Oryzias latipes: one gene and its partner. The protein of the gene in region 1 purifies or fractionates together with the protein of each later gene. This does not show direct contact. Links are inferred from orthologs where the notes say so. Each region holds a gene or a part of one and is shown in the gene's direction. Other genes may lie near its edges. The genes, in order: en1 and transducin-like enhancer protein 1.

The links.
Region 2: the proteins of en1 (region 1) and transducin-like enhancer protein 1 purify together in Homo sapiens (affinity purification with western blotting; 4 studies listed by BioGRID and IntAct, with this or other methods). This does not show direct contact. The link is inferred for Oryzias latipes from reciprocal best matches to the Homo sapiens genes EN1 and TLE1.

Annotation. Positions count from the first base shown.
Region 1 is NC_019860.2:18,270,754-18,275,058, reverse strand, and holds en1 (homeobox protein engrailed-1), read left to right. Parts: upstream 1-1,360; 5' UTR 1,361-1,651; coding exon 1,652-2,174; intron 2,175-3,410; coding exon 3,411-3,742; 3' UTR 3,743-4,063; downstream 4,064-4,305. UniProt on the Homo sapiens protein: Required for proper formation of the apical ectodermal ridge and correct dorsal-ventral patterning in the limb.
Region 2 is NC_019867.2:10,627,903-10,631,724, forward strand, and holds part of transducin-like enhancer protein 1, read left to right. Parts: intron 1-263; coding exon 264-480; intron 481-767; coding exon 768-784; intron 785-2,774; coding exon 2,775-2,888; intron 2,889-3,298; coding exon 3,299-3,352; intron 3,353-3,440; coding exon 3,441-3,590; intron 3,591-3,663; coding exon 3,664-3,802; intron 3,803-3,822. UniProt on the Homo sapiens protein: Transcriptional corepressor that binds to a number of transcription factors. Inhibits NF-kappa-B-regulated gene expression. Inhibits the transcriptional activation mediated by FOXA2, and by CTNNB1 and TCF family members in Wnt signaling.

The DNA of each region.
Region 1 (4,305 bases):
CCTGCCAGGGAGCGGTGACGGCGCGTCGGACTCCGGCTTTTATTCAGGCCGCTCTCGGTGATGAACGCCGGCCACATCGAGCGGAGTGAAGACTAATTAAAAGCTATAAATTACCTTTTTGCTGCCCCCCCTCCCTCCTCCCCTCCACTCCTCTTCCTCCCCCCTCAAAGCAGGCCTCTTTGCAGAAGCAGATAAGAGCAGACTGAGAGCTCATTTACCCACAAAGGCGCTGCTGCTAAACTGCGCATTGATACTGTCCTAATTGGAATTTAATTAAGTAGCACTCCGGCCGCTGGGATAAAGATTTAACCAGAGTTAACCATCAACACGTCCCCACTTTCATGCTGTCGCCATTAAGATTATTAATATTATTATTTCAAATTGCCAATTACAACTGGATGCCATTTTTAAACATTTATTAGGCTGAATAGTTTATTACAACCGGGAAACACTCCGTTATTTTTCTATTCTAATTTTTTTTAATCTTTTAGTTTTGTTTATGTAAGATGTTCCATCAGGATAAAAAGGTTTTTAAAAAGCAAAATAAAATTAAATCTAATGTGCAATTAACCCCATTTATAGAAATAAACGTGTAGTGCTTTTAAAATTGACATAGAAATAGAAAAAAAAGAATATCAATATTTTACATAATTCCAAATAATAAAAACATAAAAATTACAACTAGGATGAATGTATTGTAGATAACGAGAAAGCAAATAAAATATACAATTTGTATATATTTTTGACATTGTACACTTTCTGACAGCATCTGTGGGGTTTTTCCCCAACATAATATATATATATATATATATATATATATATATATATATATATATATATATATATATATATATATATATATATATATATATATATATATATGTATATATATGTGTGTGTCATATATATATTATATATAATAAATAATAGGCTAAAGGTCATTGCAAAACAAGCAAAAACATAGTAAAACAACTTTGTGTTCTTAACATTTTTTTTTTTTTTATTTTGAAAAATGTATTTATTTTTTCAAGGCAACATTTTTAACAAAATGAAGTTAAAGGCAACGATGAACATGTTTAGACAAATACAATAAAAATAATTAAAGTGTGGCGTTTTTACGGATTTAAAAACCCTTATTTTTCTTTGCCACCTGACGTGTGTGCCAACTTGCGCACCCCCCCCCCCCACTCCATCCCGCCGATCAACTGTACGCGCGCGTGCTCGCCTTCCTGTGCTCTGATTGGTCGGCGTCGCCTCTGATCTGGACCCTCTCTTTCACCTGATTGGTCTGCAGTGTTACGTGCACACGTGCTTCCGGCTGGGTGTCAGAAAATGAAAATAAAAAAAAGAAGAAGAAGAAGAAGGAGGAAAAAAAAGGGCGGCACGCACGCGCGGGGGGAGATAACGGTTTTTGTGAGGAGCAGATTCAGAGATATTTACGCTGCGGCGGGGAGAAGCCGCGGCACTGCGTCCTGCGTGGATGTCGGCTCTGCCAGCAGACATGTCGCCTCTGTAGGTGATTGTAGAAGCCTGCGCAGACACTTGGGCTTGTTTTTGAATGCTGACCGTCTAAACTGGATACCGAAGAGGGGCGGGAGCAACAAGTGGAGCTTGGCGTGGAGAGGCCGGGATTTCTGCCCCATCACCAGCCATGGAAGAGCGCAAGGAGCCCGGCAGCGGCCGGGATTCCACCGAGGACGAGAGCAGCATGTCGCTGTCGCCGAACCTCCCCTCCCCTGCCGTGATTCTACCCCACCAGGCGGCCCAGCAGCAGCACAGAACCACGAACTTTTTCATAGACAACATCCTCCGGCCGGACTTCGGCTGCAGGAAGGAGCCGGGCTACCGGAGCCAGACGGCGGGCAGAGAGAACGTCAACCCGCTGGGGGCGAGGCCGCACGCCGGCAGCCTCTGCCTGGACTCGAACTGCAGCAGCGACAGCGCCTCGTCGTCGCCCGCCTCGTCGTCGTCCTCGTCGCCGTCGTCCAAGCAGAGCTCGGCGAAGCAGGGCGAGGCGGCGGGCGGCGGGACGGGCAGATACGCGGACAGCCCGTCTTCTATTGTGGTTGTGAGCGGCGGCAACGGAGCGTCTCCGCCGATAACGAAGGAGAGCCAGCCGCTGCTATGGCCCGCCTGGGTTTACTGCACCCGGTACTCGGACCGGCCGTCATCTGGTAAGGCGCTGACAGTCCCGCTGCGGCCCTGCGGACCACTTTGGACCGCTTTCCCACCATTTCCAATCGTTTATTTTCACTTTACAGCGATAATTATTAGGATTTCCATAAAAATACTGTCATGTTTATTTTGTAATGTGTACACACTAAAAACATTAAAATATAGCTTCATAAAAAAATTATAATTTTTTAACTTAAAGTCTTTAAAAAACATTTTTTTTAAATTGTTTGGTTGTGTAAATAAATAAAAGATGGGGGAGAAAAAAATAAAATTTCTGTGGAAATATTAAATTTTTACACATTTGGACTTAGAGCAAAATATTGTTTTAAAATTATTATATTATATCATCTATGCATTTATGTGCAAAAACAAGAAATACGTTTATTTTGATTAATAATTAATAAGAAGGCTATTAACTAAAACAAAGAGTTTCTGAACCTGCATTTTAAAAACTAAACTCTTCTATATTTGAATTTTTATTTCATTTTTGACTCTAATCCAGCTTTGAGGATGTAAAACTTTTTTTTGACCTCACAAGAAAAATTTGCTTTGAAATATACACCAGTGTTGTAAATAAAAGATAAACTAAAGCAAAAAATAAAATAAAATAAACGCACAACTATTGCTTGATTAACTATTTATTGTCATTGTTAAACTAGCATATTACACAATAACATTAAAGTTTTTTATGGTCAGCTTTTGTTTTCATGTTTTAGCCGTTTTTCCTTTATATTAGGTTTATTTTGCCCTTGAATAATACATAATGATAGCAGGATTTTTGTACAAATGAACAAAATAAAAGTACATGACTATAAATCATTAACTTTAATTTGTCTTTTTTAGGTTAAAAAAAGAAAAAATGCATTTATTTTGTTGATGAAATACTTTTGCAATATATGACTTCCATTTATTTATTGAAGCGTTTGAATTCATTTCATTTAATGAATGTCGCTTGTAGTTTCCTTATTTCATTAGTTGTGAGTGAAGGTGCGCCGTCCTCTCCTCTGATTGGCTGATTTGTCTCCCCCTCACCTGTACCTGATTAATTATCAGCCATAAGAATATGAGGAAATAGATAAGCCACTTTGAGACCATTGCAGAGGATGTAATGAAAACACGTGATGGAAAAGTGTTTCTTAAATGACTCTAGATTGAATTGATGACATATTTGTCGCCTCGCGCGCGGCGGAGGAGCGCCTCCCAGCCTGTAAATAAACATTTCATTCCCACTGTTGTTTCCACACCAGGGCCGAGGACACGGAAACTGAAAAAGAAGAAGAACAGCAAGGAGGACAAGCGGCCGCGGACGGCGTTCACGGCCGAGCAGCTGCAGAGACTGAAAACCGAGTTTCAGGCCAACCGGTACATAACGGAGCAGCGGAGACAGTCTCTGGCGCAGGAACTCAACCTGAACGAGTCCCAAATTAAAATCTGGTTCCAGAATAAGCGGGCCAAGATCAAAAAGGCCAGCGGCTACAAGAACGGGCTGGCCCTGCAGCTCATGGCTCAAGGACTTTACAACCATTCAACCACCACCGTGCAGGAGGAGAAGGACGAGAGCGAGTGAGGAGCGCGCGCGCGCGCGCGCAACGGACGCTATTTAAAACGAGACAAAAAAGAGACAGATTTCTGTTTATGTGAACGGTATATGGACATAATTATATAAATGAACGATCGTTATTAAAGTTTATATAGCCACAGTTATCATGTGTTTGGTTTCAGGCGCATCTTCCATCCGGAGCTTTTGTTATTATTTTTTGTTTTTTCTTAAGTATCCCTCATGTTTGCGCCAATTTTTCCCCCCTCAACGAATCAACCCGTTAAGCCAAAGATTTTTAATATGTTCACATGTAGTCTGAAATAAACAAAAAATAAAATAAAAAAGGAAGCAAACGGTCTTTAAAAAAAATCGTTTTTTTTCATGTTTTTTAAATTAAAAAAAAATGTAAACTTTTGTGATGAACATTAATATTAATTTCAAACATTTTTACAAAAACACTTTGGATGGACTTTTGAAACAAATGTAACCAAAAAAAAGAAATACTTATACTAAACGATTTTATTTCAAAAATATTTAATTGACCAATTAAACTGACGTCACGCCTGACCGTTAACCTATAGGGGTCACAC
Region 2 (3,822 bases), on another chromosome or scaffold:
GTTCCTTCTGCTGATGACTTCAATAGTGCCAGAAGTTTATTGATTAAATTGCAGAGTGCTATTGATTTTTTTCACTAACTGGTGGCTATGTTTCATTCACGTGTCCTAAGTTTTTGGTGTCAGGTGTTGTTGTGGTTCGCATTTATTTCAGCTAAAGTCTCATGCAGTTACACATGTTGTGCTTGCTATGACTCTGCATATATATGTATATATATATGTATATTTTTTTGAGCTCATCCCACTTTGTTTTCCTTTTTTAACAGCAACAACATCTATCCCATAACCATGGGGGTGCCCCTGTTCCACTAACCCCTCACCCTGCTGGCCTCCATCCCTCCCAGCTGGGTGGTTCAGCGGGTCTTCTCGCTCTATCGGGAGCACTTGGTGCGATTCCTCCCCATCTGGTAGGAAAAGACGGAGATAAAAAGCCTCATCTGTCCGGACCGGACTCACATCCTGCAGCGGCCGAACTCCTTAGAGGTGAGGAGATTTGATGGAAAGAAAAAGTAAAAAACTGTGGATACTATTATTAACCTTTAAAGTTTTGTGTCTTATATCATAGCAACCATGGAAATATGTTAACATACGGGGGGGGGTATATGTAATGCTTTTCCCACTCCCTTTCACGTACTAAAAGTTTTTTGAGTAATTATTTTCAATGTAGCTAATTTTGTATTTTTTTGTTTCTTGTCGTTTGTGGTTTTCCATGTGGCTGAACGTTCTACCCTGTGACCCTAACTGCATCCATGTTTTTCCAATGGCAACAGAGCGAGAGCCCGGCACAGTGAGTAGTTCCTCTTTCTGCCCGTAAAAACTTCCTGTTCTGAACAACAACCGACTTTTCCTTTCTGTTTGTCAGTCAGTGTGGTTTGAATCGTGGGGGCCTGAAGTTTGGTAATACATTTGAGTTTTATTCTTTTGGCTCAGTTGAAAGCACATCTTTGGGGGTTTGAGGACTCAAAGAGCCAAAAAAATTATTGTTGACTGTGAGGCTCAAATACATTTTGTGTCAAATGTAAGTGGCAATCGCCTCACTATTGTTGGAAGTTGTGTTGTCGTGTTGAGTCAACTTTGGTTGAGCACTGTGAAATTAAATGCAAGGAAGGTGAAATCATTATGTATTTATTGTATTTTGTCATGGTGCTAATAAGTTTTAATAAATAACTATTATTGACTCCCTATTCTTCAGTGGTTATTGGAATTTATATTATAATTACATTATGACTACATCACCTGATTAAAAAAAATCTAAGTTAAATTGATTAATATAGCACTGCTTTCATCCTGACATATGTTGTTGAATGCTTGTTTCAGTGCATGTGTGTGTGTGTTTTTGTGTATATCGGGAGTCTCTGGGGTAGGGCTTTGGCCTGCCTGTTTAGTTATGCCCTAGATCTGCTCGGAACTGGTTGGCTTCTTTTCTCCTCCAAATGAGCCTCTTACCATGGTCACAAGTGCCCAAACGTGCGCGCATGCGGGCACACACACACACACATTCACACACAAGCTTGTCCAACCTGGCTTGCATTGTTGTGACTATTTAACACCTCAGTGAGCAGATTACCCCCTCCTCCCATCGCCCCTGATCCTGCGCTTAAAGACTCTCATTGTGTTTAATATCACCACCTCTGGGAGGGGAGGGCTTGAGAAAGGGAGGGAGTGGGGGGTGGGGGGGGGCAGTCATATGACACTGAGCTTGTGTTCATGTGTGAGAGGGGACACACCATGTTAAAAGCGAATGGGGCGGAGCAACGGAGTGCACGATTGCTTATGTTTAGCGGGTCAGTGCGTCTCAGCTCGCTAAAAATTTTCAATGAAGAGGTGGGAGTGAAGTAGGGGGGGGCTTTGACTGGATAAAGATCTCCCACCCACAAGGCTTTTTTTCTCCACCATCCCTCGTCTGTTGTCACCCTTTCTGCCCCTCTGTGCCCTCCCTCCATCTTCTCTGTCCTCCCTCCTCTTTTTTTAAGCCCCCCCTCCCCTCTAGCTGTTCATCCTTCATTTACCCTTTCCCCCTTGAAGTGCTCACTCCCTCGCTGAGTCTGTGCATGCGCATGTGTTTGTGTTTGTTGGATGAACATTTCATTGACAGGCTGAGACTATAATGGACTCAGCATGAAGCTTTAATCCATTAACAAAAGGATTCATTGGTCAGGAGGCCAGAGAGAGATGACTCTGTTTGTGTGCCTGTTTGCTTAGCAGTTGTGTGTGTGTTTGCATGCATGCCTAGTCTTAGGACACTAAAGTGTTATGCAAGTAACACACAACCACAGTCTGTTGCACATGTAATGACACACACACAGGCTTTCACAGACAATTGAACTCCATACACACACACACACACACACACACAATCAGGCTTTAGCTAGCGCGGCTTGTCAGAGCCAGAAGAGGGAGCACTGATAGAGTTTGAGAGCCACTTAATGTAATCATCAACTTCAGAGGCTTCCGTTTGTGTTTAGCTGTGACTGTCTTTGGTCAAGTGTGAAAAGAGGTTGCTGTTAAAATGTTAGTGCTGCTTAATTCATGTCCATGTGAGCTGTTAACTTATTAGCAAGCAAGAGTCTGTTTTTCTAACCTGCTCTGCTGAAAGCTCTTGTAGATAACTGCTGATGGATCTGACCACTTAGTAAGCTCACGCAGATTAAACACACAGTCAGGCAGGAGCTAAACTAAAACCCTTTGCATTTTTAGAATCCCTTCTTTCCTGCAAACCTTTTTTTCTGTTTGCGGTATCTTACCTTTCTTATCTACATCTGTTCTCATTCCTGCAGAGTAACTCGCTGCTGCCGGAAAGTCTTAGGAACTCGGATAAGCGGCGCAATGGGCCAGACTATCAAAACGACAACAAGAAACGTAAGGTGGATGACAAGGACTCCAGTCACTATGTAAGGATTGGGTTTAACTTTGATCTGTCTTGCTTTTAAAGACCTACCCAAATAAAAATCCTTTTTTTTGTGTATTTAATATTTTAAAAAGTTTTCTTACAATGGAGGACATATACAAGAAGATTGCACGTTTGAGTATTTTTTTTTTTAATAATTTAGAATCAAAAGCAAATGAAAAGAAAAAAACAGTTTGATGCTGTTTGAAAAAGTGTGCATTAGTAAAAAATACAATGGGCAGGTTTTGTTTTTTCTCAGCTGGATGGCTATAAACGGCATAATCATAATGAAAAGACCTCTGGGAAGACTTTTATAATAGATCAAAAGTTTATTGGAGTGGGACTTTAAAATAAAGAGGAAAACATTTATTGTTGTGTCTCTAATTTACATTATTCTGTGATTTGCTCCATTAGGATAGTGATGCAGAGAAAAGCGACGACAATTTGGTGGTGGATGTTTCAAATGAGGTCAGTATTTATACTTCTTTTTTTTAATTTGTTGTTCACTTTTGTGCATGTTACTGTGTGTAACTGAATTTTTGTGGGTGTTCTGTAGGATCCTGCTTCGCCGCGTGGGACACCTCTTCCCTCCCCAAGAGAGAATGGGTTGGATAAAGCCCGACTCCTTAAGAAAGACCCCTCCAGTCCAGCCTCCACAGCTTCATCAGCCAGCTCCTCTTCCTTAAAGTCCAAAGAGATGGCGATGGTGAGGACCGCCACTTTTGTGAGTCCTAGTCACTTAGAAAAATATTTAAGGAAAGTCGTCTCCTGTGTGACAGCGAGATAAGGCGGGAACACCTGGACTGAAGTCGAGCACACCCACTCCCAGGGGTGACTCCACACCTGGACCAAGCTCCACACCTGGAATCCGACCAAGTCTCTCAAAACCTTCATCAATGGATATACCTCACCCTCCCAGTTAGTTTGTTTGAGCGTGT